Linked DNA regions of Mus musculus: region 1 is reported to be linked to region 2. Evidence: microRNA targets listed by miRTarBase, many of them from high-throughput screens and not tested one by one. Region 2 holds a microRNA gene; the other region holds the end of a gene's coding sequence.

The links. Region 2 holds the annotated microRNA mmu-miR-499-5p (UUAAGACUUGCAGUGAUGUUU, at 3,626-3,646, shown strand). A microRNA usually pairs through its seed, bases 2 to 8, with sites in the 3' UTR of a target mRNA and lowers its output. Matches are read on the target gene's strand: a 7mer-m8 pairs with bases 2 to 8, a 7mer-A1 pairs with bases 2 to 7 and ends in A, and an 8mer does both.
Region 1: miRTarBase lists Ccnd1 as a target of mmu-miR-499-5p. Seed matches in the 3' UTR shown: 7mer-A1 at 4,596-4,602.

The regions. Positions count from the first base shown.
Region 1 is chr7:144,927,805-144,933,172 of GRCm38, forward strand. Ccnd1 (cyclin D1) reads right to left here. Exons shown (of 5, transcript NM_007631.3): 5 at 2,127-4,967. The coding sequence ends at 4,803. It also overlaps a transcript of LTO1 not described here. Among named protein-coding and RNA genes, the nearest start is that of Ccnd1, 9.3 kb to the right of the region's middle.
Region 2 is chr2:155,619,268-155,624,635 of GRCm38, forward strand. It overlaps Mir499 (microRNA 499), which reads left to right and starts at 3,613; the gene lies at 3,613-3,691. It overlaps Myh7b (myosin, heavy chain 7B, cardiac muscle, beta), which reads left to right. Exons shown (of 42, transcript NM_001085378.2): 12 at 823-926; 13 at 1,120-1,258; 14 at 1,514-1,632; 15 at 1,725-1,874; 16 at 1,999-2,169; 17 at 2,901-3,080; 18 at 3,167-3,299; 19 at 3,378-3,454; 20 at 3,936-4,023; 21 at 4,177-4,294.

The sequences.
Region 1 (5,368 bases), not on the chromosome of region 2:
GGCAAGCACACTTGGCAGTGCCAGCTCCCAGCACTGGCCTTATGTGGCCTGCATAGCCTTGCCACCAAACACACAGCCCAACCCGCATTGACTGTCTCCTGGGATGTTGTGGCCAGGGCTTTGGGGCACTGCAGGGAGAACACACAGTCCTACTCTTCTGCCTGTGTCCCACCCCTTGGAGTCCTCAGCTCCCACTGCTGGCATTTTGTGGGCCCCAGCAGCCCAGATCCTCTGTAGGGTTGGTGAAGTTGGCCTGCTTTCTGGGACAAAGTGCAGCAGTTGAGCTGACCCATGGGCAACAGGCTAACTTCCTCACACTTGGTTCTAGGATGTGGAGTCAGGAGGGGAGAGGCTACACAGAGTCACCTGTGCAATGTCATGCTCCACATGCTCCACAGGGGCCACATTCACTGTGAGTCCTGTAGGACAAACAGGAAGGCTGGAGCAGGTCCAGGCAGTGGGGCAACACAGAATGGGGAGCCAGGGGCAATCTTTCCAGTTCAGGGAGCTGAGGCTCAGAGAGGCCAGGCAGGTTCAAGAGCTTGGCTTGGCTGAGAGAGGTAGGATGGCTCAGCAGGATGGAGGCCGCCTGCAAAAGGAGAGCCTGGCCAGGACACAGGGCAGGGGACCATGGAGCTGGTAGAGGCAGAGAGAGAACCAGCCATTGAGCTTTTGAGAGGAGACAGTTGGGTGTGCTGGCTCCCTGAGTCCTTATCTCTGAGGGCCCTCAAAAAGCTATTTTACCATCACCCTTAGAACAGGAGTATCTCTACACCCAGCAGAGGATCTAGCCTCCAGTGTTACCAGTTAAACTTGAGGGTTGGAGCCTGGAGTGGCCAGTGGTATCTGGGGTTTCACTGCTAAAACCAAGAAAAGAGGCTTGGCTATCAGCCACAGCTGGGAATCACAGACCACTGGATGACGAGACAAGCCAATTGCACCGTTAAGAGACTGCACCATGTGTGAGCCCTGTGCAGTTGATGGTGATGCTTGCCCATTCCAGTTGGGCGCCCTTCCATGAGCACCTTTGATAGGCAGTGGTGGAAAGCAGCAGCTGCAGCAGCAGCAGCAGCCTTTGAGTGGATGCTCAGCCCCTTGCTATTTGTGTCTGCATTCCTAGTACCACTCTGCTGCACTGGCTGCCTGGCTGCTGCACCCCAGCGGATTTCCTCATGTCAGCCTACCTGGACACGATAAGCTCGCTCCCCAGTGCTTCTAAGAACCAAGGGGGAAAGCACTCTTCCACCTCAATGCCCTTTGGCCATTTCCTGGAATGCTGACGGCCCCATGCCCATTCTCCTGGATGCCATGTGACTGTGGACCCGGCTCGGATGCTTATATGGAGCTGGGCTGACAAAATACCTTCTGGATCCTGCCATCAGACAATTTGGTACAAGATGAGTACTGTGTCTTCATAAGCCACCTCTGGCTCTGGTGTTCCCATATACTCTCATTGAGTAGGTCGCCTGGCAAGGTCACTGTGGGCTTCTCTCCGTCCATCTCTTTCTGCTTTCATCATTGGGTGGCACCACTCAGACCAGGTGTCATCTACACCCTCCACTTTCCAGAAGGGCAGGGGCCCACCAGGCACCAAAACAGCCAAGCTGAGACCCAAAAGCTACCTTGTAGAAGATGATGTCTAAAAGCCACCTGTCCCCACAGGGTTTGGAAACAATACTAGTCATGAGTAACTGCCACCCCGAAGACATCACAGGAGTCTTGCCAGGCCACTCAGGTCTGCAGAACTATGTGAAAGGCCACCTTGGGTCTTGGCCCTAACACTAAGCATGGCTCTCTGGGCGCTTGGCAGCACCTAAGAAACGGTGATTCACCCAGAGCAAACACCCATTTGCGCCAGACAAGGGGCAGTGAACGCGGGTTCTGTTGATCTTCCATCTGCAAATAAGCAGGAGGGTGAGCTGGCAGTGATGGACCCAGAGCCGCTTCTGATCAGTGGCTGTCGCTGGCCTCCCTGACGCCAGAGGCTCCCACTTTGCTCTTGGCTGTCACTTGCATACACCCTTCCCCTTGGGAATCCCAGGTTGGTGCCAGGGCCAGAGATGCCACCCCACATGGCTGTGGCATCACCCCACTCCTGTTCCCAGAAAACACAGACAACAGTGAGCTGAGATTTTACCAATTTTATTTTCTAGATTTTTTGTCTTTTTTTTTTTCCTGGACCATGCTGGTCACATGTCTGTGCTGGGAAGCGCCATGGTGTGTCAACCAGAAATACAAAAAGCCAACCTGGCCACCAGCCAGAGCCCCTCAAAGCCTTTCATGTCACAGGGCAGATTCCGTGGACCCACCACCAGTCTTTGGCCTTTTGGCCAAAACCTCACCCCATCACCATGGATACAGCGGCCCTCAAGGGTCCTGCCTGGCTGGGATGCCTCAGCTGAGCTGGTGGTGCCCGTTTTGGTTTGGCAGCTTGCTAGGGAACTTGGGGGCCTACAGCACTGCAGCTGGCTTCGCAAAGGCAGAGTCTTTACATTAGCACAATGCTGTAATTAACACAAAACAAGACGGAACACTAGAACCTAACAGATTAAATGATGCACCGGAGACTCAGAGCAAATCCCCCCGGGCCAGCAGCATGGTGGCATGCACAACAGGCCGCTACAAGAAACAATATCGATAACAGAACAATCCAGGTGCCCTGACTGCTGTGATGCTATGTCCCAGATCAAATGAAGGGCCCAGCATGACAGGACGATCGCCATCAGGGTCCCAGGATCCCTGGAGGCAGACCGCCCACCTGCCTGCCAGGCTCGTGCATGGCTAGATGATACATGAGGTATTGTGAACAGGAACCTGTTTTTTTTTTTTTTTTGGAATACAGCGGTAATCACATTAAGCCAAAATAGATCACAATTAAAAAAAAAAGTACAAAAAAGGGCATCTGTAAATACACTCTATGAGGAAATTAAAACTTGAACATGGCAGTCTGACATTGTAAAACAAAACAAAACAAAACTGACCCTCCAATAGCAGCGAAAACAACGTGAAAGATACAAAGCAATGAGAATCTGGTTCTGAACGTCTGGGATCCTGGGAGTCATCGGTAGCAGCGCCATGAGAGGAGCCGTGGCCTGTCCCATGTGGTCCCACCTTCACCTCTTCCCTCACATCCCCTCTTAAGCCTCCCGCTCTCCACCTTCTGCCAAAAAGTCCTAATAGAAAGGCACAGAGCCAGAGGTGTGCAAATTACCTACTGTTGTTAACTTGGGGGCAGCGGCAAGAATGTGCCAGAATCAAACTCTTTTGGAGTCCCCTAATTTTCCTCAGTTTGGATGGCTCTCCAATGGGGCCAATTGGGTTGGGAAAGTCAAGCAGACCAAATCTCTGTCTTTGTGGTTTTTTTTTTTTAAGGACCCCCCCCCCCCCCCCGTTGCCCAATGAAAGACCAATCTCTCAGACATGGCCCTAAACCTTCTCCAGCAGGGCAGAGGTGTGCGTTTGAATCAAGGGAGATCACATTGCTTTGAGTCACACTGGTCATGGGCAGCCTTTCCCATAAATACTCTTCTGTAGCCTTAAGTATAAATTAGACATTTTAGTGTTTAAAAGCCTCCTGTGTGAGACTTAAGAGTTGTCCCCAATCTCCTTGTCCAGGTAATGCCATCATGGTTCCTACTTCCAAACACCAGCTGGCACCAAAGGATCCCTTCAACTTTGCAGGACAGATCCCGGTGGTGCGAGAACAGAGTTCTCTCTTCTTGACCCAACAAAACTTCCCAAGCACCTCATACTACCAGCCCTACAACCTGTTGTACAGCCATCTGAATGCGTGTGTGGACATCCCCATCCATTCCATTAGAACCCCTCCCCCCAACACACACCAGCAACACTGCCTCCAGCTAGCTGACCAAAAGTGCTTTGAAATGGAATGGTTTTGGAACATAGAGAAAGAAAACACAACAAAACAAACCACACACAAAAGCTGTGGGTTTAACCTGATGTGGGCAGGCTGCAGGGCCTTCAGGCAAAAACCAGCATCTCTCTAAACAGAGCTACAAAATAGGAAGGTTACAAAAATAGAATATATTATGTCACTATTTCATCCCTACCGCTGTGTGGCTGGTGCTGTGAACCTGCAGGTTGTTGGGGGGAGAGGGCACATTAAGCTGAGCCCTGGGGAGGGGGGTTGTGCCACACGCCATGAGACCACTAGAGGTCGCACTGACCATCTATAAGGTTAAGAGGTCTGCCCACCCCTGGGATAAAGCACAGGTATCAGGTAACAGGGCTGTAGGCACTGAGCAAGCCAGGGAGTGAGGCTGAGGGCCTAAGCTGTGGCTTTTCAGCAAAGCAGAGTACATTTCTCAACCTAAAAACTCTTCTACTTTAACAATGGTTTGCTGTATTTTTTTTCCTTCCTTTTTAAAGCAATGTTTCTTAAGCTTTTTTTTAAAAACATATAAAAGAATCAAAACTCCTTCTCAAGACTTCCCCTGTGTTAATCCTACTCTTAGAACAGACAAGCACATTAATAGAAAACTAGTTGATTACTGGGGTACAGAATTCTATTTTTGTAGCACCCCCTGGCTCCCTACTCTCAGGGTGATGCAGATTCTATCTCTCTCTCTCTCTCTTTAAGACAGCTTTCAGATATTTTTTTCTCTTTTGCTTAAATCAGATAGAAAGGAGAAAGATTAAGGAAAAACAACCAACAAAGAGAACAAAACTTCCTCTTCTGGTAACAACATGTCCCCAAGGGGGACGTCGTCAGGAGCACCCGGGCTGGCTCCTTCCTCTTTGCGGGTGCCACTACTTGGTGGCTCCCGCCTGCCCGGTGGCCCTCAGATGTCCACATCTCGCACGTCGGTGGGCGTGCAGGCCAGACCAGCCTCTTCCTCCACTTCCCCCTCCTCCTCAGTGGCCTTGGGGTCGACGTTCTGCTGGGCCTGGCGCAGGCTTGACTCCAGAAGGGCTTCAATCTGTTCCTGGCAGGCACGGAGGCAGTCCTGGAGAGGCGGGCGGAGATGGAGGGGGTCCTTGTTTAGCCAGAGGCCGGTGGCCAGGGCCTTGACCTGCGAGGCAGGCTTTGCTAAGAGCAAGGCTTGAGGAAACTCCCCAAGCCACCCCTAAATCCAGTGAGAGCTGCCAGAGACTAGAAAGGTACTGCTACTCTCTAGGTTCCTCCTCCCAGGCTGTACCCTGAACTTCCCCACAAGGAGCGTCTATCTCTCATAACTTTTTGCCTTGGGTGGCCTCTGAGAGAGGACAGCTCCAGCACAGGTAGGGTCTGGAAAGCATTTGCCCAGGAATAAGACTCATGAACTGAAGCCCTGCCTAGGCAGGCTGAAGCTAGGGCACTGTCTATATTCCTGAAGCCAGGAGGATTCCTGGGGAACACCTGGGAAGC
Region 2 (5,368 bases):
GGTAGAAAGATGACTGAGCAGTGGTCAAATGATGAGGGAGTCTTATGGACCGAGTGAGGGCCATTCCCCCAGAGAACTGTAAAGAAAGGGACTCATGCCCAGACATGCATATAAACTTTAAAAATGAAAAGGGGCGGGGCTTGGTGGTATGCAACTTTAGTCTATGTACCCAAGAAGCAGAAGCAGTGTGAAGCTAGCCTGGTCTACATAGTCCCAGCCCAGCCAGGGCTATGTAGAGAGACCTGTCTAAACAAAATAAAATAAATATGCTAATAAATAAAATAAAAATTTGAAAAGAGCTAAGTACAACTCAGTGATAGAGAACACTTATCCAGGAGGCACAAAATCCTGAGTTCCATCCCAATTATGCACAAGCACACATGCGCACACATGTGCACACTCATACATATACCCTTACACACTCACACACATACTCTCACACACTCGCACATATACTCTCACACACTCATACACTCTCACTCACACTGTCTCTCCCACACTCACACAACTGTAAAAAAGAAGCAGCCAGCAGGTCATGCCTGTAATTCCAGGACTCAGGAGCTGAGATCAGAGGATTGTGAATTACGACCAGCGTGGGCTACACAGAACCTGTCTCAAAAGAATAAATAAAAATAAATGATGAAATAAACTAAAAGCCTTGTGTAGGGATTACAGAGACCAGAAGCTCAGGTTACAGAGAAGCCCTTATAGGCTCAAGACTCTCTCTGAGAGACCCCTGTCCTCGGGGGCCCCCTGGTGGGCAGGAGAGGGAAGGCAGCCTGAGGCTTCCTCCTGACTCCTCCTGGGCCTCCCTGTCCATAGACATGCTGCTCCTGTCCATGAATCCCTACGACTACCACTTCTGCAGCCAGGGGGTCACCACTGTGGACAACATGGATGACGGCGAGGAACTTATCGCCACTGATGTACGATGCTCTGTGGGGGAAACGGGGTGGGCGTGGGGGTGGGAGGGGGCACCAGGCTGGATTCCCATGGGTTGGGTGTGTGTGAGTATATGCACTGGGTCGAGACCGGGGAATTAGTATGAGTGGGGTGGTCCTCGGCGAGACTCTCAAGGACTCATATTTCTCTGAGCCTGCTTGGTTCCTTCTACATCAGCATGCAATGGATATCCTGGGCTTCAGTGTGGATGAGAAGTGTGCCTGCTATAAGATCGTGGGTGCTCTCCTGCACTTTGGCAACATGAAGTTCAAACAGAAGCAGAGAGAGGAACAGGCTGAGGCAGACGGCACTGAGAGTGAGGACCTCTAACCCCAGTCTGACCTGGCCTTTACCCTGGAAACTTTCCCAGACATTCTCCTTGACCCTTGCCAATAATCTTTCATCTCAGTGTTCTCTGTTCCTGTCTGAATTCTAGACCCTCCTAAAGGTGACAATCTTCAGGCCCCGATTCCTCTTAACCTTCCTCTTTAAACCCCCAAGATGTGACAACAGACCCCTGACCCCCAAGTGCCCACGTTGTTGCCCTTATCCAAGCCATGTTCCCTGCCAGGTGCGGACAAGGCTGCCTACTTGATGGGTGTCAGCAGCGGGGACCTCCTCAAAGGTCTCCTGCATCCCCGGGTTCGTGTGGGAAATGAGTATGTTACCAAGGGCCAGAGTGTGGAGCAGGTGAGAAGGCGCCAAAGGCTCGCTCAGGGACAGCTGAGGCGGGATCCCTCTCTTGCCGGGTCCCACCCGACCCTGCCGCCCTGTATCCACAGGTGGTATTTGCCGTGGGGGCCCTGGCCAAGGCTACCTACGACCGGTTGTTCCGATGGCTGGTTTCTCGAATCAATCAGACCCTGGACACAAAGCTCCCTCGACAGTTCTTTATCGGGGTCCTGGACATCGCTGGTTTTGAGATTTTTGAGGTGAGAAGAGCTCTCAACCACGGCAGAGGCTGATGGGTGGGTGTGGGGGACCACAGCTGTGCTCCCCACGCCCTCCAGTCTGCATCCATCAGGGGCCTGCTGATTGGGGCTCTGCCACCCATAGTTTAACAGCTTCGAGCAGCTGTGCATCAACTTCACCAACGAGAAGCTGCAGCAGTTCTTCAACCAGCACATGTTCGTGCTGGAGCAGGAGGAGTACAAGCGGGAGGGCATCGACTGGGTCTTCATCGACTTCGGCCTTGACCTGCAGCCTTGTATCGACCTCATCGAGAAGGTCAGACCTAGGGTGGGGACCTTGCCGGAAGTTGTGCGTGCGTGCGTGCAGGCCTGGATAAGCTGCCTATCAATGTGTGGTTGTGATTGATGTGGCTATTAAATATGCATTGAAGTGAATCACTATTCCCGTTCAGTTGAGAAGTGAAGTTTGGGGCTGGAAAGATGGCGTAGGAGTTAAGAGCACTTGCTGCTCTTGAGGAAGGTCTGGTCAGTTCCTAGCACCCACAACAGGCAAGCCACAGCTGCATGTAACCTGAGTTTCAAGGTATTCAATTTCCTCTGGCCTCCATGGGCACACAAACTCATGCCGGCACATACATATGCATACAAATAAACAAACACTTATTTTAAAAAAGAAACATAGATTTAGTAAAATATTGGGTTCCCTATTTCTAAGGAGTGTAGATACCAAAATGCAGATTCAAATGTCTTAAAGGAAAAAAAAAAAAAAACTTAAGCCGAGTGAGCCATGGATGTTAGTTAATAGGGCACAGAGATGCCAGCCTGTTCTACACACATAGGCGGGGAAGGGGATCCGAAGTCAAGCCACAAACTCTTCTCTCCCAGAAAGTGGGTTCCTGGGTATACACACGTGCCTGACTTCTCCTGTACACGGCTGGCTTGTGGACCTGAAACAGCTCCCAGAGGGAGTTAGGCTGGAGAACAAACGTCCAAGGTCCCAGCCAGCATGGTCTAGCCTGGCCCTTCAATCTTGCTTTCTGTTCCCAGCCTCTGGGCATCCTGTCCATCCTGGAGGAGGAGTGCATGTTCCCCAAGGCTTCAGACGCAAGCTTCAGGGCCAAGCTCTATGACAATCATTCTGGGAAGTCACCTAATTTCCAGCAGCCTCGCCCAGACAAGAAACGCAAGTACCAGGCTCACTTCGAGGTGGTCCACTACGCAGGCGTGGTAGGTGCTCGCTGGAGCCCTGTACTCAACCACTGTCCTCTCTCCCTCCTCAGGGTCGCCACCTGGGTCAATATTTTTCTTTGTAGGTTCCTTATAGCATCGTGGGCTGGCTGGAGAAAAACAAGGATCCCCTCAATGAGACGGTGGTCCCCATCTTCCAAAAGTCACAGAATAGGCTCTTGGCCACCCTCTATGAGAACTATGCAGGTTCTTGCTCCAGTGAGTACTGAGGGACCATTCCTGGGGGTCCACAGAGCCACGTTCCCTGGCATGATCAATTCTCATTGTCTCTCCTAGCCGAGCCCCCCAAGTCTGGGGTGAAAGAGAAGCGCAAGAAAGCAGCATCATTTCAGACCGTGTCTCAGCTTCACAAGGTGAGGTCCAGACTGGGGTCCCAGCGGCCCTGGCTTTCTGCAGGCTGCCCCGCCCCCTAAGACTGCCACGCCCCCTACAGGCTGCCACGCCCCCTACAGGCTGCCACGCCCCCTGCAAGCTGCCACGCCCTCCTTGCTCCCTGCCGTCCCTGTGTCTTGGGTGGGCAGCTGTTAAGACTTGCAGTGATGTTTAGCTCCTCTGCATGTGAACATCACAGCAAGTCTGTGCTGCTGCCTGCCCCCATGCTGCCTGGGTAGGGCTGGGGGAAGGGGGAGCCATGGGACGGAGCCCTGGGGGTGGGGGGGCGGTGAAGACTTAGGTGGTGTTTGGGGTGGGGCAGGTGTCATAAGGAGCATTTGGGCTCCTCTGCCCAGTCCCCTCTGGTCCCTAACCACTGCGGCATGCAATTCTGGTTCTCTGACCCTCCTGTGCCTCTCCCTGCTCCTCCTGTGCCTCTCTCCCTGCTCTCCCCATTCCCAGGAGAACCTCAACAAGCTCATGACCAACCTGCGGGCCACACAGCCCCATTTCGTCCGCTGTATCGTCCCCAACGAGAACAAGACTCCAGGTGGTGTCCCCGGGCTGGCCAGGATGGGGGAACTGGAGGCATCTTAGGCTCTCACCTTGGAGGGTTTGCTCAGTCTCTAAGTAAGGCCTGGGTAGGGACCTAAAGGCATGGCCGTGCATTTCTAACCACCTCTTCCACTCCCACCACATCCAGGGGTCATGGATTCCTTCTTGGTGTTACACCAACTACGCTGCAACGGGGTCTTGGAGGGAATCCGGATCTGCCGCCAAGGGTTCCCCAACAGACTGCTGTATGCTGACTTCAGGCAGCGGTGGGTGCTGACTGCTTCAGCCTCCTCCCGCTGCTCTTAGATTAGGTAGAGCTTGAGGGGGTCGGGGAGACATGTTGGAGCCTGAGGGACATACAGCAGTTCAGGTCTCCTGAGGAGGCGTCTCAGTCTGGAACTGGGTTAAGGAAAGAGGTGACTAGACTTGAGGTAAATGTGGAAGTGGAGGCTGCTGGCTTTGCCAGTTACTTGGGTACAGGATAAGAAAGGGTTAGCCTGTGGTGACTCCCAAGTCTCAGGCCTGAGCTACTGGGTAGTAGATTTACTGAGCGATAAGGCAGGATGTTTAGACTGGGTGCAGAGGGGGTTTGAACATGCGCAGTTAGAAATGCCTCTGGCAGATGTCTTAGGAGAGAAGGCAGGTTTTCGGGTTGGATTTATTATTCTAGAACTCAGGTGAGCATACGAGAGAGGGTATAGATTGAGGATTAAACATGGGTTTGTGTGGACCTTGAGAGATGCCTGACAGATAGTGGGTGTGCCAGCAATGTCATCGGCTCCTTTCCCACTTCCCTTGGTCGGTTCTGTTTGTTAAACTACACGTGTCCTTAGTTGTTTCCCCTTCTACAAGTAAAGGAGCTATCACCTGCCCTTTATAGTTTAGCTATCTATACAGATGCTGTACATGTGCGCACGTGTACACAGAGAGCTTGTAGGTTTGTTTTTATGTCACTATCAGTCCCATCTCCAACCAAGGGCCTGAGTCTGCGTTATCTTTGTCTGTTGTTTTAAAGCAGGGTATTGCTGTGTGGCCCAGGCTAACCTCAAACTCTCAATACTCATGGGCATTGTGTCTCATTCCTATAATCCTAGCACTAAAGAGCCTGGGCAGGAGGATCATCAAGGGTGTGTGAAGCCAGTTTGGGCTACATAGTAAATTCTAGGGCAGCCTACGTTTCTAACCCAAAACCCAAAACAAAGTCCTGAGATTTGGCGGATGGCTCACAACAGGGCAAGCCTTGAGGCGTGAGGACCTGGGTTTGAGTCCCAGAACCCACATGAAATGCTGGGCAGGGTGGTGCACATTCATTATCCCAGGGGAGGAGCTGAGGCTCCAGG